4 linked regions of the Elephas maximus indicus genome follow. The protein of the gene in region 2 interacts with the protein of the main gene of each other region in a pairwise test. Links are inferred from orthologs where the notes say so. Each region holds a gene or a part of one and is shown on either strand. Other genes may lie near its edges. The genes, in order: nuclear envelope pore membrane protein POM 121C-like, RBPMS, RBFOX1 and keratin-associated protein 19-5-like.

Evidence for each region.
Region 1: the proteins of RBPMS (region 2) and nuclear envelope pore membrane protein POM 121C-like interact in binary tests that used the Homo sapiens proteins (3 or more experiments, as listed by UniProt). The two-hybrid records come from large-scale screens. The link is inferred for Elephas maximus indicus from reciprocal best matches to the Homo sapiens genes RBPMS and POM121.
Region 3: the proteins of RBPMS (region 2) and RBFOX1 interact in binary tests that used the Homo sapiens proteins (3 or more experiments, as listed by UniProt). The link is inferred for Elephas maximus indicus from reciprocal best matches to the Homo sapiens genes RBPMS and RBFOX1.
Region 4: the proteins of RBPMS (region 2) and keratin-associated protein 19-5-like interact in binary tests that used the Homo sapiens proteins (3 or more experiments, as listed by UniProt). The two-hybrid records come from large-scale screens. The link is inferred for Elephas maximus indicus from reciprocal best matches to the Homo sapiens genes RBPMS and KRTAP19-5.

Annotation. Positions count from the first base shown.
Region 1 is NC_064830.1:110,392,755-110,401,093, reverse strand, and holds the start of nuclear envelope pore membrane protein POM 121C-like, read left to right. Parts: upstream 1-4,820; 5' UTR 4,821-4,868; coding exon 4,869-5,458; intron 5,459-6,573; coding exon 6,574-6,789; intron 6,790-7,107; coding exon 7,108-7,266; intron 7,267-8,339. UniProt on the Homo sapiens protein: Essential component of the nuclear pore complex (NPC). The repeat-containing domain may be involved in anchoring components of the pore complex to the pore membrane. When overexpressed in cells induces the formation of cytoplasmic annulate lamellae (AL).
Region 2 is NC_064840.1:69,843,163-69,851,559, reverse strand, and holds the start of RBPMS (RNA-binding protein with multiple splicing), read left to right. Parts: upstream 1-5,099; 5' UTR 5,100-5,638; coding exon 5,639-5,704; exon of another isoform or gene 5,705-6,030; intron 6,031-8,397.
Region 3 is NC_064830.1:65,286,597-65,295,513, forward strand, and holds the start of RBFOX1 (RNA binding protein fox-1 homolog 1), read left to right. Parts: upstream 1-5,116; 5' UTR 5,117-5,122; coding exon 5,123-5,170; intron 5,171-8,917. UniProt on the Homo sapiens protein: RNA-binding protein that regulates alternative splicing events by binding to 5'-UGCAUGU-3' elements. Regulates alternative splicing of tissue-specific exons and of differentially spliced exons during erythropoiesis.
Region 4 is NC_064836.1:31,077,360-31,083,383, forward strand, and holds keratin-associated protein 19-5-like, read left to right. Parts: upstream 1-4,544; coding exon 4,545-4,880; downstream 4,881-6,024. UniProt on the Homo sapiens protein: In the hair cortex, hair keratin intermediate filaments are embedded in an interfilamentous matrix, consisting of hair keratin-associated proteins (KRTAP), which are essential for the formation of a rigid and resistant hair shaft through their extensive disulfide bond cross-linking with abundant cysteine residues of hair keratins.

The sequences.
Region 1 (8,339 bases), on a different chromosome or scaffold from region 2:
ATTGATGAAGTGTAGGATTGCACAGCAGATTATTGTAATTGCTGTCAGTAAGTTGTACACCTGTAAAAAGTTGAACTGGCAGATGTTGTGTGATGATACATTTACAACAACAACAAAAAAGAGTAGCTGCTGAAGCTGATTATGTACAACCAAACACCTCATGGGATTTGGTTCCTTGATTTGGAGGTTTAGGGTCATGGTTTCATGGGACATCCCAGTTAAATTGGCCTAATATGTTTAGTGCTTCTGTTCTACCGCCCAGTTTGTTGTGTAGTGCCTGGGGTCTTAAAAGTTTGCAAGCAGCCACCCAAGGCACAACAGTTGGTCTCTATTTGCCTGGAGCAACAGAGGAAGAAGAGAGTCAGGAATAGAAGGAGAAATATGGAATGTGTGGCTAAATGACTCCATGAACAACCACCTTTTTTCCCATGAGACCAGAAAAACTGGATGGTGCCTGGCTACCGTTCCTGAACATTTGGGTCAAAGATCTATAGAAGAATCCTGATCAAAAGGGGGAAAATGTAGAACAGAACTTCAAATTCTCATGGACTCCAGACTTCCTGGAACCATGATGGTAGATGAACGCCTGAAATTATTGCCCTGAGATAATCTTTAAACCTTAAACCGAAACTATCCCCTGAAATCTTAAAACCAAACAATAATTTAGCTCTGCTAGTAAAAAAGGTCTGCCTTGAGCATTATGCTCTTTTAAGAACTATATGGGATCAAAGCAAGAACAGCAAATTGAAAGACAGAAACCTTAGGGGACAGTGAGTTTATGTTAATGGGAAGGAACAACTCAGAAAAGGAGAGTGAGAATGGTTGCAGAACTTGAAGAATGCAATCAGTGTCGCTAAATGGTACATGTAGAAACTGTTGAATTGGTGTATGTTTTGCTGTGTACGTTCTCAACAACAACAATAAAATAAAATTTTTAAATAACCAAAGAAAACCCTATGGGGGATAGTTCTACTCTGACACACATGGGGTCACCATGAGTCAAAATCGACAGCAACTGGTAATCCTTTTTTGGTTATGTGCATTAGAATTGTTTTTTTCCCAAATTTTAGCTTATCTTTTAGCTGCTTATATTGTCTTTTTGCATATAGAATATTCTAGAGACTGGAAAGAAATATACTTCAGTACAAATAAATTGGTTTCTGGTCTATACAGTTGTTTCTCGTGAGTTTGGTTATTGTGAGGCCGGCCTCTTTTATCCCTTCCAGCTCTCCCGGGTGGTGATGCTTTCACTGAGGAGGAGCCACAGAGTCTGTGTGGGCGGTCAAGACAAGACGCATGGTTAGTTTTGTCTTACTGCCTGCAATATATGCTAGGCAACTGAGGGAACCAAAGCACGGAGCATGAAGTTGCTTGGTCACCATGAAGTCAGAACAAACAATAATATTTGGGGAGAATGCTTCCAATAGGTAGCCCACTGGATTGTTTTTCTCTACTGAAGGGGCATTTCTATCTTGAGAATGAATCCAACACTGTAAAACCAGAACAGTTTCAGTCTCATCAGTTATATTCTAGCCGTAGCTTCCTGAGATTGCAGCCTGATCCGGGCTGTGGACTTGGAAAAGCCCTCAGGACACGTCCACAGATGGCTAATTTCATTTATTCTGTTTTAAAGTATGAGCTTTGGCTTCAGAAATTGTTCCTTTTCCTTATGTGGTTTCCAGGTTCTGTAGGTTTACCATTCAGACTTGGAGCTGACTACTTGCCAGTGAAAGGGTTCTGTGACCCCTGCAGTTTCCAGGCGTTCTCTGCCATGTCTCTGTTCCTTGTAATCCAGAATATGAAGCAGTTATTTACTGTGTCAAAAAGAGCAATGTCTGAGGAATTTGGAGTTCTTTTCTATGCTACTACTTTTCTAATTTACTGTGTAGAGGAGCCCTGGTGGTTAAAGAGCTAGGCTGCTAACTGAAAGGTTGGTGATTTGAACCCAGCAGCCGGGAGATGTGGCTGTCTGCTTCCATAAAGACTACAGCCTTGCAAACCCTGTGGAGCAGTTCTGCTCCGCCCTGCAAGGTCGCTGTCTTAGTCATCTAGTGCTGCTATAACAGAAATACTACAAGTGGATGGCTTTCACAAAGAGAAGTTTATTTTCTCACAGTAAAGTAGGCTAAAAGTCCAAATTCAGGGCATCAGCTCCAGGGGAAGGCTTTCTCTCTCTGTTGGCCTTCTCATCAATGTTCCCCTGGACTGGGAGCATCTTTGTTCAGGGACCCCGGGTCCAAAGGATGTGCTCTGCTCCCAGCATTGCTGTCTTAGTGGTATGAGGTCCCCATGTCTCTCTGCTTGCTTCTTTCTTTTATATCTCAAGACATCTCAAAACACAATCCAGTCTTGTAGATTGAGTCCTGTCTCACTCACGCAAGTGCCACCTATCCTCCCTCATTAACATCATAGAGGCAGGATTTACAACATACAGGAAAATCACACAATACCAGGAATCATGGCCCAGCCAAACTGATGCACACATTTTTGGGGGACATAATTCAATCCATGACAGTCGCTATAAGTCGGAATCTGCTCGATGGCAGCAGGTTACTGTGTAATGTTGGATAAGCCATGTTACTTTTCTGGATTGGGTCTTCTCATCTGTAATTGAATTAGATTTTTTTTTAAAGCAAGATAGCCTACCCACTTTTCCTTTCAAATGAAATTTTATGTAAAATCACAAAATATTAAACTGATAGAAGCCGAGCTGGCTTATCTCTCCAAGTTGCCTCAGAGGCACCTTTGCTAAGCCCTGCGTACATTTCCAACCTCCTTACCCCCCAAACACCTGCATCTCCGGCCATACTGAACTATTTGGAAACTCTTGCATCACACTCGTTTCCGTCTCTGTGTGCCTGCCTGGAGCCTGGTTTAGCCAGCTGTTTCAGCTCAAGTCGCACCTCCCTGGCCCTCCTGCCCATTTATCATGCCTTCTCTTTCTGTGCCTCTATGAACTGTAGTTTTCTATTTACACATATTTCTTCGCTACCAAACCGAGGGCTTCTAGACCTTACCCCCCTCCCCCCAAGTCATTTGAGTGTACATCAGTAATGGAATGAAGAAATCAATGAATGAGTTATGCTGAGAAAGCTGAGCTAGGTCAAAATCTGGATTGGCATACTACCAATTTTTTTTCAACAGCTTTGTTAAGATATGATTCACATCTCATACAATTCACCCATTTAAATTGAATTCAATTCAGTGTTTTTTAGTATATTCACAGGGTTGTGCAACCATCCCGAGAATCTAATTTTAAAACACTTTTTTCTTCCCTGAAAATGAAACCCTGTAACCCTTAGCAATCACTCCCATTCCCCACCACCCCCACCCTACTCTGCAGCCCTAGGCAACCGCTATTTTCTCTGACCACCAAATTTAACATAGGTGAACTGGTCATTAATCTTCAAAATTTGGTAGGGAATCGACTTGACAGCACTGGGTTTGTTTGTTTTCTAGCACTGCTTAACCAGCTTGTACTGTAGAAACTCAGATTCAGGACCTGAAGCAGCAGCCCTAGGGACTCTCTGATCCAAAATTTATTAGAACTAGTTCAGGAGCCCTGGTAGCACAGTAGTTAAAGCGGTCAGCTGCGATCTAAAAGGTCGGCGGTTCAAACCACCAGCAACTCCACGGAAGAAATATGTGGCAGTCGCTCCCCTAAAGATTTACAGCCTTGGAAACCCTAAGGGACAGTTCTACTCTGCCCTATAGGGTCGCTATGAGTCCGGAATCAGCCCAACGGCACTGGGTTTGGTTTGGTTTGTAGTTCTACGTTTAATAGGATGGTTGGTTTGGTCTTGCTTTTCCCTATTGCTGTTGAAGTTAGTCCCCTCTAGCTATTTATATTTTGGAGTAAACAAGGTAACTGAAAAACTCAGTCTCTGTTAGCAATTGTGGCAAGTGCTTGGTAACGATCTCTTCTGGGAGATTAAACCCATTGCTGTCCGGTGGATTCCTACTCATAGCGGCCCTGGAGGGGAGATTAACCTTAAAAACAACAACAAAAATATACTTTTTGCTGTGGATGCCGGTTCATAGAGATCCCATAGGACAGAGTAAGCTGCCCCATAGGGTTTCGAAGGCTGTAATCTTTACAGGGAAACCCTGGCGCCGTAGGGGTTAAGAGCTACCGCTGCCAACCGAAAGGTCCGCAGTTGTAATCCGCCAGGCGCTCCTTGGAAACCCTGTGGGGCAGTTCTACTCTGTCCCGTAGGGTCGCTCTGAGTCAGAATCGACTCGACAGCAGCGGGTTATCTTCACGGGAGGAAACTGCCAATCTTTCTCTTGGAAAGCGGCTGCTGGGTTCAAACCACCGCCATTTCGGTTGGCAGCGGAGCACTCTAATCGCTGCGCCACAAGGTTTCCGGAGGGGAGATTACCCTGTTGCTGTCGATTCCGACTCATAGCGACCCTATAGGGCAGAGAGCTGCCCCCTACGGTTTCCAGGGAGCGCCTGGTGGACTGACTGCCGACCTTCGGGTAACAGCCGTAGGTCTTAACCAGGCCACCGGGGTTTCCAGGAGGGGAGATGAGCCCCTGGAAAACATCTAGGGTTCGGAATTACGTGAGAATATCATGAAGTAAGGATTAGGTGAGTACTTTCCCTGCTTTTATTTTTAACAAGATTCTTCCACAGGATCATGTCTGGTTGGTGCACTGCGGGGAGACACGCGGGAAACCTCGAGACTCAGAGCTCGCTTCTGGAGCAAAGCCGCGTTTTTCAAATTCGGTCTCGGTCTACCGAGTTGCCAAGCAATGGCGTCGCTCCGCGCCGTCGCGTGCGCAGTGACGTCGCCGGCGCGGTGACGCGGCGCGCCGCGCGGTGCACGCTGGGATATTTAAGTCCTCCGCGGCGCGGAGCCGCGATGTCTCCGGCGGCTGCGGCGGCTGGAGGAGGCGAGCGGCGGCGGCCGGCAGCCGGCGTCAGGGACGGCCGGGGCGGGGGCTGCGGCGGCCCGGCCGGGGCGGCGCTCGTCGGCCTCTCGCTGCTCGGCCTCTCGCTGCTCGGCCTCGTGCTGCTCCTGGTGCCGGCGGCGGCCGCGCTGGCCTGGCTGGCCGTGGGGGCTACCGCGGCCTGGTGGGGACTGAGCCGCGAGCCCCGGGGTGCGCGCGCCTCGGCGCCGGGTCGGAACGCGCGGCGCCAGCGGACGCGGCCGCCCTCGCCGCCGGCCAAGCCGGCAGTGAACGGCAGCCTGCTGGAGCCGCGGGCGCTGCTCGAGGGGCCCGCCGCGGCTGAGCTGCTGCTCATGGGCAGCTACCTGGGCAAGCCCGGCCCTCCGCGGCCTCCGCCCGCTCGGGAGGCCCGGGACCCGCCGCAGGGGCCCGGCCGCCGGCCCGCCGCCCTCCGCCCGGCCGCCCGGCCCTCGCCGCCGGCGCCCTCGGCCGGCCTCGGCCACCGCGCGCAGCCCGGGCCCCCCACGCCTGTGCTCCGAGCCTCGAGGAGGCTGCCCCGGCGGTAGGGCTTCCGGGGCCCTTGTCGGTGTCTGTTGGGGGGCGTTAAGGCGAGGACTTAGGTGTTTGGTCGTTTCGTTGGTTTGCGTTCAGTCGGAAGCGGCTTCCCTGTGATTTTTGCCTTCTTTAAACGCTTGGCGTGTCCGTGGCCTCCTGCCCTCCTCTCCGCTGGTGGAAGGAGATGTGAGGCCAGCGCTATTCCCCGCCCTCCCAGTTCTTAAAACCGCCAGAATTTTCGTGTAGTATAGATTCAGCGGGGAGCCCTGGTGGCTCAGTGGTGAAAGCGCCCACTCTGACTCAAAGGTCCGCGGTGTGACCCACCAGCCGCTTTGCGGGAGGGAGATGTGGCGGTCTCTTTCCGTAAAGATTAAGCCTTGGAAACCCTGGGGGCGGTTCTCTTCTGCCCTGTAGGGTCGCTGTGAGTGGGAATCAACGGCAGCGGGTTTGGGTCGGTTTGGGGGATTACAGATTTAGCAGTATATTTGATAAAGCACTAATATTTCTATTTCGAGTGAAAATTACTTTTTCTTTCAAGCATAGTCTGTAGTGTATTTTGGTCTTTGGACCAGTGAGAAATTATATCAGTTAGCAGAACTCGAAGTGTTCCAGAGAATTCAAATTAAAGAGACATTTTTATTTAGTCCCAATAGCTGAGGTGATACAGGCGAATACAAAAATTTGGTGAAAATGTTAGATTCTTGATAAGTACATTTGTTTGAGAAGGTGAACATTTAGGTGTGGAAACTGGTTAAAAATGTTTGGCTTTGGGTGTATTCATTACTGGAGTTTTAGCGTAAAAGACTGAAAAGATTGAAGAATTCTTGAAGAATTCCTCCCTGTGCACCCTAACACACACTTGTATGCCATTGCATGGGCAGGGGTTCCAGCTTCCCTAGCAAATTGTTGAAGTCCCTTGTTGAGACAGTTGCTAAGCAGCTGCCAATTTCTACCCTTAAATAGAATGGGGGAAAGTTGCCATAGAAATATTGTGTTCTGTGTTAGAAAGAGATTTAAGCTCTCTGAAAGACGTCCAAACCCACATGGTTGTTTGGCCACTTTAACTTTCTGACATTCTTTTATACTTCTTTGCTTCCATGGCGTATCTCCCATTCTTTGCAGGAATTGTGGGACTTTGCCAAATCGGTTTGTAATAACACCTCGGAGAAGTTACCCAATCCAGCAGGCCCAATATTCCTTCCTGGGGGCACTTCCCACGGTGTGCTGGAACGGTTACCACAAGAAGACGGTGCTGTCTGCACGTAATTCCAAGATGGTGTGCAGCCCAGTGACAGTGAGGATTGCTCCTCCTGATAGCAAGTTGGTTCGTTCACCAGTGTGAGTATTGTGGAAAGAACAGATTCCCTTTTGTGTCCACTTTACTCTCTGTTACTCTTGTGTGGTTATTCCTTTGACAACTCTGAAGGAAAAAGAAGAAATAACTGTTTATTTGAATGAGAGAAACCCTAAATTGTAGCCATTGAACCTTTTTTAATTTTTTGACCTTAACGGTGGCTTAAATCACTAAGAGCAATTTCTGTGAATGTATAAATTACACTTTTGCTAGCTTGGGTTTTGATTTCCTATTATTAGCATCTATGCTAAATGTGTAGTAATTAAAATATTTTAATACTAGATTTTTGTTTTTCATTGCAGACCAGAGCAGATAATCAGCTCAACACTGTCCTCACCATCAGGTAATATTCCAGACCCATGTGCAAAGGAGACTGTACTGAGTGCCCTGAAGGAGAGGAAGAAAAGAACAGTGGAGGAGGAAGACCAAATATTCTCAGATGGCCAGGAAAATAAAAGAAGGTAATAGGCCCAGCAGACTACTAAACAGCCTCCCTGTGTACTCCTGGGAATTTGTTGAAATACAGATCATTCCCAAAAAATATACAGAAGCCAACTTTAGTTTATGAACCTTCATATTCCCTTCTCTGGCTTTCATGAAGGAGCCTGGTAACAAAGGCATTAATGCTGTTCATTTCCATGGGTAGATAAATTTTATAGTCTACCTTTTTTATAAGTATTAGAGATAAACCAACAAGTATTAGCCATATCAGCCTCACACTTTTGATACTAGCATGTTTAATTTTATATTTGAGAGAGAATGCTCAAAGTCTTCCACTTACAATCTTGTGTTGTTGATTTATTTGGCCAACTACCTGTTTAAAAGTCATAATTGTGCTAAAGGAAATGCTTGCCAAAGAAGAGTGAAGACTAGAGTGTGGTAGATTTACCAGTAATGAGAGTAGAACCAATTTCATTATTTGCCTTATGTGATACCTTAACGGAAGTACAGTAAACAGTCTGTTTCCCAAATTTAAGAGATGAAGTGGCTAGTCATGATATAGAACTACTTATGGCTTTCCAAGGAATCAGTAAGGACTCCGCACTTTTTTTAATTTAACAAATATTAATTGGGTACCCACTGTGTGCCAGGGCCTGTTCTAGGTACTGTGGATAGAGCAGTGAATAAAACAAAGTCCCTACCCTCAAGGGGCTTTCTTGAGGGAGATAGACAAATTAAAAAACAATGAAATAAACAAGGTGATTGAAGACTATAAGTGTACAGGGGAGGGGTACAAAACAAGGTGTATATAACAGAAGGTAATGAGAAGGGGGTTTCTCTGTATAAGGTGAGATATCAGATGCCACACCTGAAAAATATAACCACCGCCACAATTACCTAGACCAGATTGTTCATACCCGACAGTTTCAGAGTTGATCAGCTTTGATATTGTAGATTACTAAATTAAGTAGGGGAAATCTTAATAAATGGAAATATACTTGTATAATATAGAAGATGAGGTGATGGTGACTGGAAATGTGACTTATGGTCTGTGGCAGGTGAGCAGTTTGAGCTGGTGTCACCCAGCTAAGCA
Region 2 (8,397 bases):
GAACCACCCTAAGGCTTAGTGGCTTAAAACAACAGCATTCACTTTTTTGGTAACCATTTTGCAATTCGGGCAGGGCTCAGTGAAGACAGCTCATCTCCCTTCCACACGGCGTCGGCTGGGGTAGCTGAACTAAGGCTAAGAACATCCACTTCTGAGACAGCTCACTCACAAGGCCAGCAAATTGGTGCTGGCTGTCCACTGAGAGCTCAGCTGGGGCTGTAAGCCAGGGACCTTGATTCTCCTCCATGTGGGCGTCTCCATGTGGCTGCTAGAGTTTCCTCAAATGATTAGAGGGAAGTGATTGGATCTGAGAACTACTTGGGAGGTAAGATCAGGGGGAGACAGTGATGGCCTGGAGGTGAGTGGTGTGAGGGAGGGAGAGGTGTGAGGATGGCAAAAATCAGCAAAGCACATCCTCTGGCCTCAGGACCTTTTTGGTACAGCATAGGATACAGAAGTTAACAATCACAACACATGTGGTAGATACGCAGCCTTCTACCTCAGAGCTAACACAGGTACAAAAACCCATGCCGCACAAATAGCCTCGGAATAGACCTTTAATGTCTGCAATTCTCAGAGACAAACACGTAAGACATAATTACAGGTTTGCATTTCTTAAAGCAAGCCTCCAAATGAACACTGCCAGAGAAACAGAGATGAGTAATAAAAAATACAGGTGTGTACAGTATTTCCCTTTCAATCTAGCATGTCGCTTTGTAGGCCAGACAGCTGTGCGGTAGGGTGGTGGGCAGGGGAAGAAGCAGATGTTACTTGGTCATTAGCCCAATTTTTCCAGGATATAAAATCCCTTCGTTGTCTTATAATTATATTTATGTGTCTGGAAACTATTGCTACTGAGGCGATCTCATGTTTGAAACTTTTCTTCTTTGAAGTAGTGAACAGGTCATAAAGACCATTTATATCCTGACATTTTCCTCCACGCTGTCAAACTCTTTCCCCTCACTCCCAAAGTTTTATAAATAGCAAGAGTCTGTTTACAGATTCTCATTGGGTTTTGTTTGGTAATACGTTACTCTATCATTCTTCTAAATAAGTCTAAACCATGCTTTATGGAAAGGATAAAAAACCGGAATCCCTCTTTTCCTGGCATATAATTCCATCCGTACGTGCTCTTCCGAAAACATCTTCAATTTCACTCTCATCATTGACGGTAATATTCTAGGTCTCCCTGCTTGATTGCAAACTACCTGATGTATCAGAAGGAACCCCGGTGGGGCAATGGATTGCTCGGCTGCTAATAAAAATGACAGTGGTTTGAAACCACCAGCCACACCCCAGGAGAAAGATGTGGCAGTCTGCTTTCTTAAATATTTACACTCTTGGAAACTCTATGGGCAGTTCTACCCTGTCCTTTAGGGTCGCTATGAGTCAAGATCTAATCCATGGCAGTGGGTAACCTGGTGTATCAATTGTTGTTGTTGTTAGGTGCCATTGAGTTGGTTCCGACTCATGGCGACGCTACGTACAACAGAATGGAACACTGTCCGGTCCGGGGCCATTCTATTGTCCAGACTTTGCAAGCATATGAGATCGAAAATACTATGGCTTGGGTCAAGCACACCTTAGTGGCATCTCAAAGGGACATCTGTGCTTTTTAACACTTTAAAAGGTCTTTTACAACAGATTTGCCCAATGAAATACCTTGTTGATTTCTTGACTGCTGCTTCCATGGGCGTTGATGGTGAATCCAAGTAAAACAAAATCCTTGACAACTTCAATCTTTTCTCCGTTTATCATGATGTTGCTCATTGGGCCAGTTGTGAGGATTCTTGTTTTCTTTATGTTGAGGTGTAATCCATACTGAAGGCTGTGGGCTTTGATCTTCATCAGTAAGTGCTTCAAGTCCTCTTCACTTTAAGCAAGCAAGGTTGCATCATCTGTGTGTATTGCAGGTTGTTAATTAGTCTTCCTCCAATCCTGATGCCCCGTTCTTCTTCACACAATCCGGCTTCTTGAATTATCTGCTCAGCATACAGACTGAATAAATACGGTGAGAGGATACAACACTGAGGTGTGTGTCAGAATGTATCAATATAGTGCCGTGATTTTATTTTTTCTTTCTTGAAATCTCGTTAGGTGCCCCACTGTGTACAAGGTCTCTATCTAGAGTCTGCCCCTTGGAACAAAATAATGAGTAGAAATCACTGCCATGACGTTATGGGGGCTCTCCAATCTCAGATGTCCCCACTAATTTGGTCCTTCCTGCCGGATCTTGGAAGGATCTAATTCATTCAGACTAGAGAATCAATAACTGATGACTTAATGTGTTAATTCATTAAAAATTAACTATTGAGTGCTTACTATGTGTTCAGGAGTCCTGGTGTTGCTACGGTTAAGCTCTCAGCTGCTAAGCAAAAGGTTGGCAGTTCGAACCCACCAGAAGCCCTGCGAGAGAAAATGTGGAGATGTAGAGATTACAACCTTGTAAACCCTATGGAGCAGTTCTACTCCGTCCTATAGGATCTCTATGAGTTGGAATCGACTCTACGGCAACAGGCTTGGTTGTTTTTGGACAACGTGTTTGGCACTGTCTAGATATTGGGAATGCAACATTGAACAATCTAGACAAAGATCCTCTCATGAAACCTATTCTTGTTTTTTATCCCGGAGGTTTTTGACTTTTAACAGTAGACAAAGTCCTGGCTTGGCTGAAAGACAAAAGAATCAGGTTCTACTCTGAGAATGAAGCTACATTTCCCTGTGTAGGAGGACGTGAGGTTTTCCCAGCATCCTGAACTCACACAACGTATTCCACCTACTCATCAGTGGGGTCTGACTGGAACCATCAATGACTACATCAACTGTCACTTTTCTTGAGCGTTTGCCAGGCTCCAACAAGACAATCCCCTTCTGTGGAGTGTCCTCAGTAACAGGCAGGAATAGCCAAGGAGGACAAAGTTCTGCCATTATTGACCATCTCTGGGGCCCAAGACCACCACACAATCATTGCTCAGGAAGACATTGCCCCCTTGTGGTCACCTCTAACCTTTATAACTGAGGGAGAAGCTGGCAGTGGAAAGAGCTCCCAATTAAGACAAATGAATAATCAAAACAAGGACAAGTGAGTTACCAAGTTTTAGGAACAAAATAACCCTTGTCCTTCTCAGCTTCTTTAATTGTAGTTTCAATAAACTCTTGGTTTAGTTTCATCCAGGATTCACTTTTGTTACCATAGAGAAATGATATTACGACAGCAATTAAAGAAAAACATTTTTTTTCTTACAGAAGACCTTATCCTTATCAAAATCTTCAGATCACCAAGTAAAACCCAATATGTAAGTCCAAGTATCACTACTGCTTTTCTCTTCATGGTATGCTTGAAGCAAGTATTTTCTACATTTAGACAATTAAACTGCTTTTGACAATTTAAACCAGAATTCTGCAATTACGTTGCTGTGGCGTTGTTTTGGGTATCTTGTCTCCACAACACCACTTTAAACTTCCCAAAGGCAGAGGCCTCATCTGCAAGCCCTACCACACTTGCAACAGCACGTAAACCAGTATACTAGGGTCCAGAATGTCCAGTGGGGGAGAAAGAGATAACGTTACAAAAGCAAATAAACAAAAAATAAGTGATTAGAAATTGTGATTTCTGCTGTGAAAGAACAGCATCATGTGAAAGAGAATTCCTAGCAGTGGCAAGCGGGGGGAACGTACCGATGTGGAGTTTTAAACTTATGTTTGCAGCAGTCAAGTTGGAAAGCTTAAAGGAGCCAGTATTGGAGAATCCCTCCAAGGCCCAGCAGAAATGGAACTTTTCTTAATAATCATGTTGGCTTCCATATATTGTGAACTTCGGCTGAGCAAGAATGGCTGTTGGGTGCTACATTTTTATCAATCTATCTTGTTACTGTTGGTTCTGATTCATGGCGACTCCATGTGTGTCAGAGAACAACTGCTCTACAGGGTTTTCAAGGGTGTGACCTTTTGGAAGCAGATTGCCAGGCCAGTCTTCCTTGGAGCCTCTGGGTAGGTTCCAACCACAGATGGCTAGTAGCCCAGCGCTAACCTTTTGTGCCACCCACGGGCCTCTCTATCAATCTATAATCTTCTTCAATTCGCATGACCCTGGGAGATAAGCATAGCTATTTCTACTTTACGGAGACTGAAACAGAAGCCATGCAGTCCTTCCAAGGTTGGTGTACAGTGAAGGGTTTTTTTTTTTCTTCTGCATGCTTCGAGCCATCTGAAGATCAGCTCTACTGACCTCAAGTTCTGCTTAGACTGAGGAATGTTCACTTGGCCAACAAATATTTATTAAGTGCCTACTATATACCAGGTAGTGTATTTAAATAGCCGTGGGATTAAAAAGATAAACAGGGCACGGTCTTTGTCTTCTTGGAAGAAACTCCGGGAAGAGTGAGGAAAACAGCCAGGTAAACAAATAATTCCAAAGAGCCTGATAAGGGCTGTGGGAGGTCTGAACAAGAGCTATGAGGAGCCCAGAGAGCAGCAGCCCGTGCAAGGAGGCTGGAGAGGCTTCGGTGGACCGGACGTTCGTGGTGGGCTTGAAACTGCGCTTTAAAAAGCCGGTTGGGAGCAGGCTGCCCCAGGGTGTCTCTCCAGTTCCTTCAGGCCGTCATTTCAAACTGCTGGCTGAAGGGAAGAACTGTGCCTAAACGAGTAGTAAAAGAGGGTAGACTCAGGGACAGGGGTGCAAATCCCTCGCGGAAAGCCAGCAAGCTAAAGTAGCACACCCCAGTTCCCGCTCTCCGCACTGGCAGGGCCTGTTTCCCCGAAGCCCCTCTCCAAGCTCACGCGCACGGACACGCGAGTTCGCAACTCGGACCCCGCTCGGCCGTGGGGCGCAGCGGAGCCCGTGAGCCCGCGGCGCTGACCTTCCCCCCCTCCGGTGCCTTCGCCCTCGGACCTACCGCGAAGTCGCGGGCTGGGGTCGGCCGCTCCCGCCCGCCGCACGCCGCCCCTCCCCGGCGCGCGCCATCCGGCCGCCCGGCAGCCGCCCTCGGTGCAGCCCCTCCTCCCGCGGGGGGCTCCGTCGTCCCGGTCCCGTCCCTCAGGGCTGAAGCCCGCAGCCCACGTCCTGGGAGGGCGGAGGGAGGAGGAGGGGAGAGGAGGGCAGAGGGGAGGGAGGAAGGCGAGAGAAAGGAGGCTGCTCCGATCGCGTCCGCCCAGAGCCAGCCAGCAGCGCGCACTCGGCGGCTCTCCGGCCCCTGCGCCCCAGCCGCCCCGAGCCCGCGCCCGGCGCCCGCACCAGCTGCTCCTCTCGGGCGCCCCTCGCGCTCCCCGCTCCAGCGCCCGCAGGCTCGGCAGCGCGGCCCCGGCCCCAACTCCAGCCCCAGGCTTTCCTCCTTCCTTCCCTCGCGCCCGCCGGCCCGCCCTCCAGGTCTCACTCCCGGGTCCCGATTGTCTCCGTTCCCTTCTCAGTCCGCCCTTGCCCTCGCCCTGCCCGGTCTCTCCCTCGCACTTCCTGAGTCGCCGGCCGCCGCAGCCTCGCCGCGCCGCGGGAGCCCGCGCAGCCGCTGCCCCAGCTCCAGCCTCCGCAGCCGGCGGCGCCCCACCCGAGGGAGCCCCGGTGCCCCGGGAAGGGAAGAGTGGGCGAGCGCGCCCTCGCCCAGCCCCGCGCCCCAGCCCCGCCCGGGAAGAAAGGACCGGGAAGATGAACAACGGCAGCAAAGCCGAGAAGGAGAACACCCCGAGCGAGGCCAACCTTCAGGAGGAAGAGGTACCGAGTGGCCCGGAGCGGTGGTGGGTGCGACCGGGGGCGCGAGCCGCTGGCTTTCTCCAAAGTGCCGGGAGGGAGAAGCCGGCGGGGCGCGGGCGCTTGTCCCGGGGCGACGGGCTGGGTGCCCCTGGAGGTTTGAAATATTGTCCTTGCCCCAAGACACAACCCCACAATTTGGCCCCGGGAGGGTGTATCTTTGGAGTGTGTTTTTGTGTGTCCACGCGCGTCTGCGTGCCTAAAATTGCGTAACTTTGAGGACTTCTCGGAGACTTCTCTAAGTATAATGATCAGCTTTGTTTGCTTGGGATTTTAAAAGAGGAATTGAGAGGTGACTCCTGGGTGACCTCAGATTATTAGGACCCGCAGGGTCAGGGTTTAGTTCTGCGTTTGAGATTGGAAGTTATAGTGTGTGGGTGTTGTAAGAAAGGCGGGGACAAGTTCTCGTTAAAAGATACCTTCTGTCCCCCGCCCCCCTCCCTTTCGGTGTTAAAAGTTCTTGGTGAAAAATCTTTCAAGCGGAGGCATTTTGGTTGAATAGATAACTCATTAGCCTCATTCTTTGATGAGTCAAAGACCCCGAACCTGGGCAGTTAGCTTTTGCAAATTTAGGGACGATGGAGATGTGGGAAGACGAATAAAAGGGTTAAAAACCTAACAGTTCACCAAATGACCCTTGAGGCTATTTCTGAACATAAATTTTAAGTGATTTGTCGGTAGTAACGGTAGAACTTTGCGGCTGCGAAGCGTTCCTTTGGTGGAAACAACAAAGCTCAGTAAATGTAGGGAGGGACTCAAACTTTTCAGGATTTTGTATATAGGATATTTGTGGTACCCTATTAAATAGCTCCGTTCAGGCAGGTACAGAATCTAGGATGCAAAGAATAGTATTTTTCTCTTACTTTTTAAGATCTCAATCGCCTGAATTCTTAAACATTTTAAGAGTTTGTGCAAATGCTAGAAAGTATGTGTCTAGATCTGACCTAGATACCATTGTTAGGTCTTGCATCCTAATGTATAAGGTGAATACAGTGGTAAGCCAATTCAGAGTGATTCAGAAACTGAGATTATTATTGTAATACTGTGTGTGCAAACAAATTCAGATAGTGAAACCAAACGTGGGGGAATTCATTAATACACACAAGCCAGCTGGATATTGTCTGTCTGTTATATGGGAACCACTTCAACGTGGAAGATAGAGAACTAAGACAATGTAAAATGATGGAAAATAAATGTAGGATTCTCCTCTTTAACGTTTGTATGATAGTGCAACCTAGGTGAATTGTGGTGAGATGAAAATTGCCTTTTCACTTGAGGAAATTATCTATTTTATGATGAAGTATTATTTTGAAAAGTTTTCTTCGCATGTTTTATTACAAGCGAAGTAATACTACTGATATTTCTTTACTTTTTCAAAGAGCTGGAAATTTGAATCGCAAGTTCCACTTTTTTTTTTTTTTTTTTACTGGTTGCTTTGCTATTTATTTCCCTATCACTTAAGTAAAATTTAAAAAATGATGGCAAGTTTGTATTTTTAAGGAATGCAATGTGTTTAATCCGCTTAACACACCAAGACAATCATTGCTTTCGTTAGATATTTGTTTCACTTACATGGGCAATCTCTTTACTTCTAGGGGTAAAAACAGATACTACGAAACCATCTTTCTCTCATCATCCAGTTGTGAAAACTTGTAATTGGGAAAAAGTTGATCAGGCACACCAAAGATTATTTTTTGCTTTTGGTAGGCAGCAAAAGAAGTTTGAGTGTTCCAAAAACATGACCCACTTAATGAAATTAAGTAGAGAAAAGTCACATTTTTCTGCTGGACCTGTCTCAACTGCTGCCAGGACTGAGGTTAGGCTGCCTTGTTCCTGAGAGCCTTACCATTAATGTGTGTGAAATTGCACACCAATACAACCACAGGCAAGCTCGGGACAGTGACCGCCTCCTACCTGCCCAGTTGCCCTGTCTGTGTTCCTCTTCAGGTAGGAATGACATGTGGCTCTAAGAAAGTGTCACTATGTTTATCAAAACTTTTGTTATTTTAAAAATAGGTGGGGAGCCTCAGGAAGATTTCAGAACTCCGGTTGTACAAGAGATGGGGTGTATAAAACACACACCGTGAAGACCGGGTCTGTGTTAGGAATTCAGGAAAAGAAAATAGTGGCCCTGAATAATCCAGGAAATTTTGCTCCAGTTTCCAGTTTTGGGTTTTGTTTGTTTTTCGAAGACTCCTAACCCCCTTTTCTCCCCTAACCGTGAAAGCCACAAGTAAAATAAATGGTATTTGGTGAGTTCCATTAATGTCTTGACATGATACAAAACCACCACACACAGGACTCTCTCCCTGCCCACCCACTGGATCAGCAGTTCTTTCTCAAACACATTTAAAAGCCTTGGCAAAGGACTCTAGTAAACAGAACACACACATATAAAATGTATATATGACGCACAGCGACAAGAGAGGAAAAATGTGTTTTGTTGTAGTTTCTCATGGCTGTTGAACTGACATGGAAAAGTGAGTCCAATCCTAAAGAGCAAATAGTTTATTTCACAGATTCATCAGAGGTTTATTTATATATATATTTTCTATTTTTTTTTAAAGTGGGCTCCTTTTAACATTCAGTATATTTTATCCCTGTTTGAAAGTGTTGCATGCTTACCGTGAAGCCGCAACGATGCCGAAACACTGATT
Region 3 (8,917 bases), on a different chromosome or scaffold from region 2:
GCAAATGGTTAATACACTTGGCTGCTAATCGAAGGATGGAGGTGTCTCAGAAGAAAGGCCTGGCTGTCTACTTCTGGAAAAATTTGCCCTTGAAAACCCTACGACACACAGTTCTACGCTTATACACATGGAGTCCCCATGAGTCAGAGTTGACTCGACAGCTACTAATTGGGTGCTGTATGTCAGGCACTGTATTAAACCCTGTACCTCCAGTGGCCAGAGCTACAGCTGAGAGCCTTTCCAGTTTTTAATCAGTAGAGGCGTGAAAGGTCCAACACCTCTCTCAGTAGATGGACTCGTGAGAGCTTTAGGATTAATTAAACCTGGGATGTGGCACTCAGCAAAACTCAGGTGGGAAGGGGCCAGGGTGCGAGGTGACTTTTCTAGAAACTGGAGCTGCTTTTTCAGAGCAAGCACACATTTTATGAAGCGTTTGCTGCAGCCTGCCCTGCCCTTCCTCTACCTTATGTCCCCAGTCCTCAAATGCTGCTGCGTATTTTTTTTTTCCTACAGCACTTATCACCTCCTATTATGCTGAATACCAAACCAACCAACCAACCAACCAACCAACCAACCAACCAACCAACCAACCAACCAACCAACCAACCAACCAACCAACCAACCAACTAACCAAACTCATTGTCATCCAGTCAATTTCAACTCATAGGGACCCTACGGGACAGAGTATAGGAGAGGCTGGTAAATTCCAACTGCCAACCTTTTAGTTAGCAGTCAAGCTCTTAACCACTGCACCACCGGGGCTGCATATTTTATTTATTTCTTACTTTATTGCTTATTTTCTCCCTCCCCTCTAGAACGTAAGCTCTATGGTGTCCATGAACTTGGCTTGCAGTCTCCTCTCCAGATAAACCCCAAGGGACTAGAACGGTGCCTGGAATGCAGTCAACACCAAACAACTATCACTGAAGTGTTCGAACAAATAACTATATCGAAGTGCATGTTACAGAGATTAAAAAAATAAAAATAAAAAATTGTCTAAAAATACTTGCATTCTCACTTTACTGAAGATTGAGCACATGTTGTTCCCAGTTTCAAAATTTGGAAGTGAGAGTAAAATATTGCTAAGTCACCCCTTGACACTTCCACTGAGCCAATCCTAGTATGGATAATTAATTACGCTTACAATAGAAAGTCTCTCATTTTGTCCAACTGGAGTCTCTTGCTTTGAGGTATGACAACTATAGTAGAAAGTATCCTTAGTGAAATGTCTGCTATTTTGACACACTTAAGAAGTTACAATACAGGGTTAGGAAAAAGAAAAAAGAAGGAAAAAAAAAAGAAATCAAGAGTAGTTTCTTTATTGTTTCAAATAGCTGGCAAGTTTAGGGAAAGAAAAAAGTTACAAATACTATTGTGGAAGTCAAATTAAAACTTGAGCGGTAGCCTTCTGCATAAGGAAGTTCCATTTGAAGGTGATCTTGTTTCTTGCTGGTTTTCACATTTTCTTTCAGCTTCCTACAGGGTGTGAGTACCTATTCAATTAAGGGCCCCTGTACCTGAAAGGCAGGCAGGGTGGCCCTCAAACGTGTACGAGGTGTATACATACATACATACGTCCAAGCGCCCGGGGGTTCTTCGCAGAAGAGACAAGATTATGTCTTTCCCCGCTTCTCCCATTTATTGACGTAGAAGCATCATTCAGGAGCCAGTGGCATTGATGTGGCTCTCTCCCAGTCTCTGTTGAGATCAAATTCAAATCCAGCATCCCCAGATGCTGGTCAAAAGGCGAGCGAAGTTTCATCATCCAGGGAGCAGAGGTTGCAGGTATGGTGCAGTTTGACATGGCGTCGCTCGATGCTGTGTTACTGATCCGTGGGCAGTGATATTAGCGAGTGTAAAAACCTTGCCTGCCTGCTTCTTTAAGTGGCTGGCGTGTGTCTAGGGTTTGTACTTGCCTCTGTGCATGAGCGCGTTTGCATGCGCTTGTGTCAGAATGTGTGAGTTGGTCGTCCAGAGAATGGAGCCTGGCTGAGAATCCTTTTGAGATGGAGGTAGAGGGTCTGCATCCCATTGTTTCATTTTGCAGACTTCCAATATGCCTGGGCTGTGAAGAGATAAGTTTAAAGGGAAGCCTGGGCCGTTATTGCAGAATGGGGCTGCAAAAATCCAATCACCATGAAAAGGTTTTAAACTTTGGGGAGAAAACGGGCCGGCAGACCACTATTGGCTCAGTGCAGCTGAGAGCCGTTATTGGTTCCTTACATAATGTATTTGTTTTTTCATTAAACCATTCAGATAAGGTCTTATTAAAGTGCCATGTATTATTTATCATGTTTCTTATGAAAATGAGCTAAAGGGAAAATTCTATCCTCTTCTTGGGGCATTTGCAGGCTTTCCCTGTGCTGGCAAGAAAAGAAGCAAGGGAAGAAACAGAACGGAGGAAAGCATGGCAAACCCTGTCATAGAGCAGATTGCTTGAGGCAAAAGGAAAGGACCGGAAAAGGAGAGGAAGGGGAGGAAAGACCCTTGTATTCTGTATATGCTTTGTTCAGTGGCTTTCTTTTTGATTTTGTGAATTGCAAAAAAAAAAAAAAGCAGGTAGAGACTAAGGAAAGAAAGATGAAAGCAAGAAAGAGAATCATTTTATTTGTAAATCAGAGCTTGTCTGTTAAACAGGATTTCAGAGTCAACGTAGAGCAAGGATTTTTTTACAAACTAACCACTGTCTGCTCCCACAAAAAAAAAAAAAAAAAAAAAAGTAGCAGAGAACAATGCCCAAGGCACTCCTAATCCCCCATGCCAACTTCTACCTGGGGCTAAATGGGCTGTCGTTGTTGTGTGACTTCAAGTCCATTCCGACTCATAGTGACCCCATGTGACAGAGTAGAACTGCCCTGTAGGGTTTCCTAGACTGTCATCTTTACAGGATCCGATTGCCAGGTCTTTTCACCTGCAGAGCTGCTGGGTAAGTTGGAAGTACCAACTCTTTGGTTAGCTACTGTGTCTCTATTCAGTTGACGGGATTCGTGAGCCCCAGTATGGTTGAACAGACTGGTTTGGCAAATGAAAAAGTAAAAAGAAGCAATCTGGTTTAGGCCTAGTATTTGGCATAACGAGGACCTTGTAGTTACTGATAGCTTTTCAAAACAAACAGCAAAAACAACAACCAAAAAATGGAGCTGTGCAATAGTTAATTTCCTTTCCTTCAGAAAGGATTTTGATTAGCCTCAAAGTGAGTTGTCACTTCTGAGCTGATGGTTCAGTTCAGAAGAGGTCTTGTGGCTGAGAGCATCTATGTGAGCCTCACAGAGAATCTGGGGGCGAGCCCCTGGTGGCCAGTCCCCTGGGTCACGTCCTAAATGCTCCTTTGTGAGAATCCCCATCCCCTCTCAAAGTGTGACCATGTCCTGCAGACATTGGCAAGCCTTCAACAAGCATCTTTGCAGGGAAACCCGCAACCCGAAAAGATTCTGTTCAGAGAACTGACCTCTTGCTCGGGAAATAAAAAGAAAATCCAATCACTGAGTCAAAAATCTATATAATAAAAAAAAATATGGCTACTATACAGTGATCATAATCTCACTAGTGCCCAGAATGTGCACTAGTGGGGACCAAGGACAAGTTAGAGTCTTAATATTTTCTTTTGATTTGCAGATCACATCCTATTTGATCGCATAAAGACTAACACAAGCTACTAATGAATAATTATTCCTTCATAAAATACAGGAGAGGGGGAGACCCATCTGCAAGAGCAGAATGCTAATTTGGCCAAAGAGGGCTGGCCAGACAAGAATAAAATAAACCATTTTAATTTGCCCACTGCAGCCCACAGAGTAATCTCTTATCAGACACAAGCCTCCCCCAGCCTGTGCATTCATAATCTGAGAAGAGCTGGGATTAGAAGCCCCCTTGCCTTCCCCAGGAGCTGGCATGTTAGTCCAACAGGCTTGATTTCAACGCCTGCCCAGGCAGTTTGCCCCAGCGGTTAGGATAGGGGTTGGTTTGCTGAGCGCACTGCTGCCTGCCCAGCAGAGGCAGAGAGCCAGCGAAAGCTGCGCCCCAAAAAGCCTCGGGGCTTGTAGCTGCCTTTGCTGCTGGGGCACAGACACCGCCCTCCCTCCAGCGCCCCCAGCCCCAGCTTCCCCCTAATCGGGGCTCCCCAGATCTCAACACCTCCAGCTTCTTAAGAGAGGAAATCCTATTTCTGTGTTTATTCGAGGAGTCAGGCAAACCAACCGCCAGGAAAAGCAAGGAGTCTGGGTCCCAGCTGGGCGAGCACAGGAATTGTCCAGCTCAAGGCTGGATGCTGGCGATGTGGGGCGCTCGCTTGCTTCCTCGCCCGCCCCGCAGAGATTTTTAGCAGACACAATTTGAATTTTGGTGAGTCGTTAAGGAAAAAAAAAGGCAAAGGAGAGGAGGGGGAAAAAAAAAAACACAACCCTGCCCCTGGACCCATTTGACAAATGAGAAGGCAGGCAGCATCAGCACCAAAGGAGTGAGCCTCCTCTGTGAGTCAAAATCTCTCTCCCTCTTTCTCTCTCCTCCCCTTTTCATCTCTCTCTCCCTCTTTCTCTCTCCTCCCCTTTCATCTCTCCCTCTTTCTCTCTCTCCTTTCTCCCTCCTCCTTCTCTCTACCCGCCTCCTACTCAGCATTACAGGAGAGTATCCATCCAAACCTCTCTACCTTCCATCCAAGTTGCCTGTGCTTGGTCCTGTCATCTTCACCGGGTGTGGGGTGGGGGGCACCTTCCACTTTGGGGGCGGTTAAAAAAAAAAAAAAAAGCAGGCCCAACAAACCAGAAAACGATCCAGCAGGGAGGAAAACAAAATAGTTTCCTGGTCCTCTCAAGTGTCTTAGTTTCAGGCAGAACAAGGCTGGGATCTAGCAAACCCAAAGAGAAAGAACGCCAGGGAGGAGGGACACGAGGGGTGCGGGGGGAGGGAGAGAGAGAGAGAAAGAGAGAAGAGACAGAGACAGCCACCCGCGTTTGACTTAGATAATCAGCAAAATTAAAAAGAGGAAAAAAAAAAATTGTAGCGGCCAGGCAGGGAGCAACGTGATTGCATGCGAGCGTCCCCACTTGTGCTCGGCGGGTACCACAGAGACACGATGCAGCACCCTCTGACGGGGGCCACCTGCGTGGCGCTCCCCAACGTGGGCATGTGTCCCCAGCTCTCGTGTGCCTTGACTTTTATGTACTTACAGCAGGTAAGGCGCGCCTCTGCCTCCGTGGCCGCTTCCCGGGGGCTGCACCGACTCGGTACCCTCATCCGTGGGCTGCGCTTTCCTGCCTTGGAGGGGGCTTGGGGAGGGGGGCTATGCGCTGGCACTGGAGGGGTGGATCTGAGCCCTTCGTTCTCTGCGGAGCCCAGAAACCCCCTGCCGAGCTGGTTTTGCATCTCACTGAATACTTTGCATGCCTGCCTCCCAGCCTGGGTACCGGAGTTTGAAATTGAAAACTGTATTTTTTTTTTCTTATTCGCATCCTTCTTCTGTCTGTGCGTCTAGTGGCGATTTGAAAATCAGAACCCTTTGATGCTAAGAGTTTGGAGTCTTTGTGGAGGCATTCGGGTGCCTGTAGTTTTCATTAAGGTGATTTAATGGGGAAGAAAAATCATCTACGTAAGCATGTGTGTGTATGTTAAGTTTTTTTTTTTTTTCGCCTTAAGTTTGCCTGTGTCGTGTTTTGTGCTGTGCTGATTCTTTATGGGATCAGGCTGTTTAGATTTCTGGATGCTGATAGCCCCAAAATCTGCCTCCAAACTCACAGGCAATGCTATGTACGGTGAAGGCAAGAGGTTTAGGATGCTGTCTTTGTTGGCACTGTAGAGGCATTTGTGTCTTCTCTTCACTCCCCGCTTAATTAAGGTCTTACTGAGGGATGTTGTGTTTGTCTGTTTGGCTTTGCACTATCCCTACATTTCAGTCTTCCGCTGTGTCTATTTTTCTCTGGGTGTTTCCCTCAGACCCCCTCTTTCTCTGTCTTCCTCACTTTACTAGAAGGGCTGGCACTGGTACCTGTGCCTGGGCTTGGGAATCCGCGGAGCATTGCCTTTGGGGGGCGGGGGGGGGGGGACAGCTTTCTGCTCTCTGTCAAGGGGTCAGTGGCTGTGCCTGTGAACTGGCAGGGCCAGAGGGTTTGTCATTCCAATGGGAAACCCTCTCCCTTCCCCATCCTGCTCTGCGAAGAGTTTATTGGGATTGTAGGCATTTTATCTGCTTTCCACAGACTCACTTCCAGAGTGCCATTTGTTAACATGTGTGTTTGTATGTTGACACAACTTCCTTCACAAGAGTTGAGAGGTGCCTCCTTCCCTAAAGGCCCTCCATTTCCATCTGGATTATAGGCATAGATGCATTTATAAAATGTCAAGATTGTTTTGAACATTTGGGTAATTTGTTATCAAGTTGGTTGCCTCCAGAAAATATATCTTAGGATTATTTGGTTGCAAGTCTGAGAACAGCCTGTTATTATTATTTTTGGTAATATCTTGAGAACAAATTGGTTTATCCTTTTAAATATCTTTTTTATTCCATTTCTCATTAAGTAAATTGTGCCAGGAAACATTTCCCAAGAGCATACTGGTAACGTATTATATGACTCATCTGCTGCTAGCATTTCTTTGCTGTGTGCGTGTGTGCATGCGTGTGTGTGTATGCGTGCGTGTTTTACACCAGTTACCCACCAGAAGAACATTCTAATGAGTGTTTCTACAGATGCTAAGCCTCGGTCGGATTTAATCAAATTATTAATACGAGTTGATCTTGTGCCTCCTACATCCACTCCTTTTACGTTATTTATTAATCAATTTGAACAGCATTACCTAACAAGCAGAATGCTATAGGTATTCAGTGTTCTGACCAGTTCTTTGTGCGTTGTTCTTTTTTTTAAAAATAAATCAATGCTTCTTCCTCCTAAATTGTTAAATCGGTTTGCTCATTTAGACACAACTTGGGAAAGCAGGCGGTGTCTTTGAGGGAGAGGTTGTTATTTTTGCCATGTGAAGGACAAGTATATAGGATAGGCTCAGGGGCTTTCATCATCCGCCCTGCTGGCTCTTCCAGGAGTGAAAACTCCCCTGCTCTGTGGTGGGAAGGCTCAAAGGAACCATTGGCAGCCATAACAAATATTTAGAAGTGACTAGATCAGCATTGTGGTTCCATATGAAGATGGGTAAAGGGTGGGTTTTGCATTTTGCTTGGGAATGCCTCCTCTTGAAAGGATTTGTAATGCTGTCCGTGAAAGTGCTGATAACATGATGCTATGACAAGATGTCAGAATGGGGTATGTGTGTGTGTGTGTGCACGTGTGTGCATTTTCTCTGAGTTTTGCTAAGTGTCTGAAGTATAGTAGAGGCAGTCTTTATTTGTGTCTGCTTGACTCAGAATGTAGTTTTCCAGCCATACCTCCTACCCTCCCTAAAGGATCACCATCAGGGCGGGAGAGACGTACCTTTGGGTCACCTCTCATGGTCCTCACTGCCATGATAGGTTGTGTGACAATTCCATGGCATTGTTTTAATTTACCAATCCAGACAATTGAATGATTAAGAGTGTGAAGTAGTTCATTTTAATCTTTACAGACTACGCACAGATGCAATCCGTGTGACTTCGGCCTATACGACACAGCTTTTGTTGTTGTTTTTTGCTCCTTATCTGTAACTATTCTTGTGTCTTTAACCGAAAGATCAGTGGTTCAAACCCACCAGTAGCTCTGTGGGATAAAGATGTGGCAGTCTGTTTCCGTAAAGATTTACAGCCTTGGAAACCCTATGGGGCAGTTCTACTCTGTCCTACAGCGTTGCTATGAGTCCAAATCGACTCGACAGCAACGAGTTTGGGTTTGCTTGTTTGTTTGTTTTGATTTATTTAATTTTGAAGATCAGAGGACAGATCAATACTCACAAAGTAAGTTGAGGAACCAGTGAATCGGGCCACGTCACAGTAAATGATGCCTTGGCTGGAAACATTTCGGAAGACACCTATTTCAGGAGTATGTGTTATCTTGATATTGTAAGAAAACAATTAAAACACAAGCATCTTATTCAAAGGCTTTATTGTTCCTGTCTTATACACGCACAGACTCTGATCAGGTGGTACCCAGAGTCTTCACTGAAATACAGCATCGTCTCCAGGAATGAAGTCTGATATGGCTCCTGTTTTTTTTCGAGTATCCAAGGGGAATTACTTCAGAATCTGTTTTCTTTGCATCAGCTCTGCCGTACAGCCTTTCTCCCTAAATTCTCCCAAATTTGTTCCTAAGAAAACTCATGAAAACAGAAATCATGCAAGTCTACTCTGACTGTCCAAGAGAAAGCAACACACCTCTTTTGCCACAAATAACTTATTTATTCAGGCCAAAGCCGAGGTGACTTTGGTGCTTAAATTATCTGGCTGATTCAGTTTCATATATTTACATTTCCCAGGAACTTCACTTTAGATGGATGTTTTCCTACAGCTACAATCGCTCTTTCTCTCTGTATGCTCACTCTTTCTTAATATCTGAGGAGTTACTACAGTTCGGAAATGCCAAATGGGACAAGACTGAATGGTCCTTTTGCTTCCAGATATTGGAACCAATGATGTCATCACAGGCATACAACATGTGCATGTACACACCTATATACACGTCTAGTATAGAGTATATACTCTGTGGTTGTAGACTGTTTTCAGGTGGAAGGGACAGATGAGCATCAGAGCAGATGGCTTCAGCCTTACTCTCTTGGGAAAGTCCCTGCTTCCGCCTCTGTTCTTAATATACTGCAATAGGTTTTACCCTGTGTCTTCTTTGATGGTGAGTCTTCTTCTCCCAGGTAAACTTCAAACTCACCTGTACTCCATATGGTATCTGTCCAGAGTTCCAAAGTGAGCTCCCATCTAAACCTACTTGCTTTGAGGGAGAATTCCGAATACAAATTCTAATTTGGGGAAGTGTGCAGTGAGCTAGTTCAAAGG
Region 4 (6,024 bases), on a different chromosome or scaffold from region 2:
TGCTCTGAAGTTTTGTTTTGTTTTTTTTTTTTTAATCTTAAAGTCTAATATTTTTACCAATATATGTCTTCAAGTTGTTCATTGTGGGTCAGTTTTCCCAAGTAATGGATGGCTATCTCAATATGTACTTTGAGAATTTCTTTTAGTTTTGAAAACTTTTCTTAGATTCCAATTTATTAGTTCTGTTCTATTTTCTCTTCTTTTTTTTTTTACACCCACTCTAATTACATGTAACCTAGATCTTTTTGTGTATCTTCTATTTTGACCACTTTCTCTCCGACTCTATTTACCTCTTTCTTTACCTCATGTTCATTATTTTTTTATTGTTTTCTTGCCTTTCTTCAAAGTCAGTTATTAAGTTTTCATTTGAATTCATTTTTCTTTAGGCATCTTGGAAATTGGCGTTCATTTTGATATGATTTTTATAGTTTTAATTGCTAAGTTTTCAACTCCTATTTCATTTTTTCCTATCCTTTGTCCACTGCTGTTCATTCTTTTTGAATTTCTGATTCATTTTTTAATATTCTCAATCCCTGTTGAGAATATTTAATTCAATGTGAAGTGTTTTGTTACTGCTTACTTTGCTCCTTTTTTGGGGAAAGGGGAAGGTGATGGGGAGGATTTTTGTCAGCTCAAGTTTTTATATTAATTTCCTTTCTTTTTATTATAGTAGTTTGTCTAGATATAGACTGTTTAGAGCATTGCATTTTATGGAATGTGCTGGTGGTTTGGGGTTGGTTATGAGATTCTTAGTTTAAGTGTGTGGTTTTCTCGCAATGTACCACGTATTGTTTTCTTAACTGATTGGTTTTACTTGGAGGGGACTTAGGGTTTGTCCTCCACTTTTATCCTTGTGATTACTAGGGTCCTTCATTTTCACTTCACTTTTTTTTTTCATGTACAGTTCCAAAAGAACACCTTCATCCCTTCTTATCTTATTTCTTCTAGATTCCTTACCTTTCCAAAACAAAACTGACTGGCATTCTATTCCTGGGCTTTCTTTCTTTCTTTTTTTAATTATGTTCCCTTAGGTTGAGTTTTTGCTTTCTCAAGATGGCTTTCTGTCAGTCTTGTCTTCCAATTTATCTCTTCTGGCAAGTCCTCCACCCCCTGGACATTTCTTTGCTCTTCACAGATGGTTGGAGAAGAATTCAAGGAATCTCACTGGCAAAAATTGATGCATATATTTTCTATTTCTTTTTTCTTATTTGAGGTCTTATAATACTTTTCATCTTGTAATTAGTTTAGAGGCATGGAATTTGTATGGTTTTATAATTTTTTTGTTGGTGTGTATATTTGTTAGGGGCAATGTTGGGAGAATCAAATTTATGCAGTCATACTGTTTCACTTGCCAAGGAAGTCTAAGGTGCCAGTTATTAATAGAGAGAACATGGCAAAATGTCCATAATTTTTCCTTTTAATATCCATTTAGATAATCTAATAGGGCAGAAGGGTGTAAGTGCACTAAATATACTTTACTGGTGTTCAGCAGTGCTGGCAGCAGAGAATGGAAAACCCATGAGATAAAAAAAGGTGAGATTGCACAGAATCTGTTTTTATTTTGTTGTTTTTTTTTTATGGATGTGTTCATTCATTCATTTATTCAACCAACAATCTACTGTTTATTCTCTGCCAGCCACAAAAATTATAAAATATTAGCATAATTAACATTCTTGCCCTCAAGGAATAGGTAGTGTAATGGAGAAGATAGCTAAACAAACTAATCAGTATACTAGAATCTGAAGAAAGGTCCAGGTCATTTGGCAGCACTCTGAAAGGGCTGTCTAATTTAGGCAGAGGTAGAGTAGCTGGGCATGTACTAAAATGTTCTTGGAGAAGGTGATGCTTGACCTATGTTTTGAAGGGTAGGTTGGAATCAGATGGGTGAAGCAGTACAATAGAGGATCCCAGAATGAAGGAGCACACCTGAAATGCTCAGAAGAGTGAAATGCTTAGGAGGTTGATGTCTTTCTTGCTTCTTCATAAAAGGGAATATGTGGTACATTCTAAGTGACCAAGATAGATAAATAAAAGCTCTGTGATGAAAAGGCTTATTTGTGAAATTAAAGAGCTTAAGCTTTCCCCTGAAAACTAAGGAGCATAATGGTTGGAAAATGAAATGATCATATTTGTTTTTTTTAGTATCTTATTTTGGACTCAGTACCAACAACGAGTCAAATGAGAATTTTTCCTTGGGGCAGTATCACCAGTGGTGAGGTTCTTACTTTAATCTAGGATAAAGTGATAAAGGACTGAATCAAATGATAAAAATGAATAGCCTTATGAGTGATATTTACAAAATATCATTGATGTGGTTCAGTTGGTTATATAGTTAGTATACACTGGTAGTCAGAGTGGGGGAAATATTCATGAAAAGTCGAGATCACATACCCAGGATTATGGCTTGAGTGACTGATATACAGAAAAGAAGCAGTATTGTAGGAAAGGATAAGTTTACCGTTGGACATTGAGCATAGGTTAAATGAGAGCTATTCAATAAGTAGTTAAATTGGTGGTGGTGATATGCAGAGAAGTATTTTAAATAGAAGATAATAATTAAAAATAATCTACACAAAATATATTATTAAAAACAATGCTTTCATGAAGTTCCAAGGGGAAAGTATATATACATTTTTTGTGAATTGAAAGTGACACTTAGCATTAGTGGATAAATAAGGAATTGGAAAGACAAATAATTAGGAATTCACAGAGAAAGCTAACTGAATGTTTTGGCACACAAAATAAGGAAAGAGTGTTATACAAAAAGAACAAAGGAATGAAGAGGCAGCAATGTCAAATGCCAAGGAAAGTTCAAGTAAGTCAAAAACCAAGAAAGTTTCCTCTAAATCTGATTACATGGAAAGCACTAATAACTTTGTGACTACCCCTGATCTTGAGGGAGAAAAGACCTTGAGTTCCGAGGATGATCATTAGCCAAAATCATGGAAGTCAAACGAAAAAGAAAAACACAACATGACCAAGGCAAAGGAAGGCACTGAGAGGAATGCAAGAGAAAAAGGCAAAAACGGTAAATACTATTACATATACAATCCTGCGATAACAGTAATAACAAACTGTAAATTATGAGTGGATACATAAGTAGATATCTAAGCTGAACAGGTGTGGGATGGCGTATGGGGGTATACATATGAGAATATATAGGTTTGACAGAGGCTATTTCTATATACATATTTGTATGTGCTGCAAATATATCCATGTCTATGGTAGAACACACAGGGGCACAGTTATGAAAATTTCCTAACCATAACCAAATAACTCAAGGGACAGAGTCAATGGACTAGAGGACTTAGGACCGTAGTCTCAGGGGACATCTAGGTCAATTGGCATAACATAACCATAAAGACAATGTTCCACATCCTACTTTGGTGAGTAGTGTCTTAAAAATTTGTAAGCTGCCATCTAAGATATAACTATTAGTCTCTTCCCACCTGGAGCAAAGAAAATCAAAGACTCAAGGAAACAATTAGTTCAAAGGATTCATGGACCACACAATCCACAACCTCCACTACCCTGAGACCGGAAAAGCTAGATGGTGCCCAGCTACCAATACTGACAGCTCCGATCGGGACAATAGTAGAAGATCCTGGACAGAGTGGGAGTAAAACATAGAACAAAATTCAAATTCATAAAAAAGACCAGACTTACTGGTCTAATACAGACTGGTGGAAACCCCAGAGCTATGGCCCTTAGACACCCTTTGAGCCTTCAATTGAACATACTGTTGGCAATCACCTTTCAGCCAAAAGATAGACAGACCAATAAAGTGAACAACAACAACTGTGAGGAGGGTGCCCCACAGGACAATCAACCATACCAGACTAAAAGGTAAGCATTTGCTCAAAAACAAAGTTCAAGAGGGCAGGAAGGAACAGGAAAGATGGGTGAATGGAGATGGGAAACTCAAAAAGGAAGTGGGTAGTGTGTGATCACATTAAGGGGTTGCAACTAATGTCACGAGACAAAATGTGTATAAATTGTTGAATAGGAAAAGAATTTGCTCTGCAAACTTTCACCCGAACCAAAAAAAAAAAAGAAGAAGAAAAGAAAAGTAATGTGAAGTTATGTAATTACAGGACTATTGGAACCCATCAACTAGAGGAGATCATTTTAATTAGGACACCAGCAAAGCCTTAACAAAACCAAACCCACTGCCATCGTGTTGATTCCAACTCATAGTAGAACTGCCCATAGGGTTTCCCAGGCTGTAAAATCTTTACAGAAGAAGACTGACACATCTTTCTCCCAGAAGAGTGCTGGTGGGTTCAAACCATGGACCTTTCAGTTAGCAGCTGTGTACTTTATACCTCTGCGTCACCAGGACTCCATGGCTTTGAATAGGCTATAATCATTTCTCATCTTGGAAACATTTTGTTGTAAGGAATGCAAACTCATTAAAAAATAATATTTATTATTAAAACTGCTTTAATAAGAGCCTGGGCTCTTTGGTGTGTAAGAAAAGAAAAATTATAAGGAATTTTTAAACTTTACATTATTCTGTTACATGGAAATGAAATCACCTTGCCATGGTTGTTTACCACAGTTACTATGGAAAATATCGGAATGTTCTGGGAAGCAAGAGAGACTCAGGAAACTCATCTTCAGCATCAAACCAATCTCTAACCCTTGACACCTTGAGCTACTGTGGCTGCTACTATGGAGGCCTGGGCTATGGCTATGGAGGCTTTGGTGGCCTGGGGTACGGCTGTGGTATTGGCTGTGGCAGCTTCCGCAGATGGAGTTATGGCTGTGGCTACAGAGGTTACGGATCTGGCTCTGGGTATGGAATCTATGGAGGCTATGGATATGACTCTTGTCACCCATCTTGCTATGGAGGATATGACTTCTCTTGCTTCTACTAAAAAGCCTGCAGATCCTCAGACTCTTTTATCACTATGCTCTTACCCACATTGTTCTATGATGTGAGCTCTTGTCTTGATGTAGGGAAAATATCTATCGTTTATTGGCATCAAGCTCCATATGGAATATCCTCTACCAGTTTTCATTTCCTCTAAAATGATCTGGAATCTCTTCATTGCTTCAGGGTTTCACTTGTTATTATTCTGTCATTAGCATCTGTTGTAAACATGTGTGAATTCTATTTTAAAATAATTTTTAATAAACATACTTAACTAGCAAAGCAAACATGGCTTCATCTTTATCAATTTGTTTCAAGGAAATTCAACTGGCTATGTGGGTTTTCAATCAGGATGTTAGTTTTCTTTCTTCCGATTTGTTAGCCACTCTTTAAGATAGAGTAGAACTGTTCCATAGAGTTTCCAAGGATGTAATATTTACGAAAGCAGACTGCCACATCTTTCTCCTGCAGAGCAGCTGGTGGATTTGAACTGCTGATGTTTAGGTTAGCAGCTGGGGCCTTAACCACCCCACCACCAGGCATCCTTTTTCTGTTTGTTTATGTCAAGGAATTTCAAATGGCTATGTAGGATTTCAATTAGGGTGTTAGTCTTCTTTCTTCTGATTTGGGAGTCTACAGGTGGTGTAAATGGTTAAGCACTCAATTACTAACCAAAAGGTTGGCAGTTCAAACCTACCCAGAGGTGCCTTGGAAGAAAAGCTTGAAAATATTCTTCCAAAATGTCACAGCCTTGAAAACCCTATGGAGCACAGTTCTGCTCTGAAACACATGGAGTTGTCATGAGTCAGAGCTGACTCGACGATAACAGGTTTGTTTTTGTTTTCTTTGTTTTTTGGTTAGTCTCCTTTTCTGAATTGGCGTTTTGATCAACAAAATGCATTTGATTTAACAAATGTTCATTAAATGTTTCCATGTGCTGGAGATTGTTCTAAGTGCTGAGGACATGGAGAACAAAGGGATAAAACCCCTGCATACTTTCATAGGTGTTATATTTTGTTTGCTTCCAGTGGTCTTTGTGTGTGATTTTGTTTTTATAAAATCATTCTAGGCACTATTTTGTAATGATTTCTTTTTTGAAAAAATTTTTTTGTATTCTGAGGTTTATCGCTGAGACAGTAAATCTATGG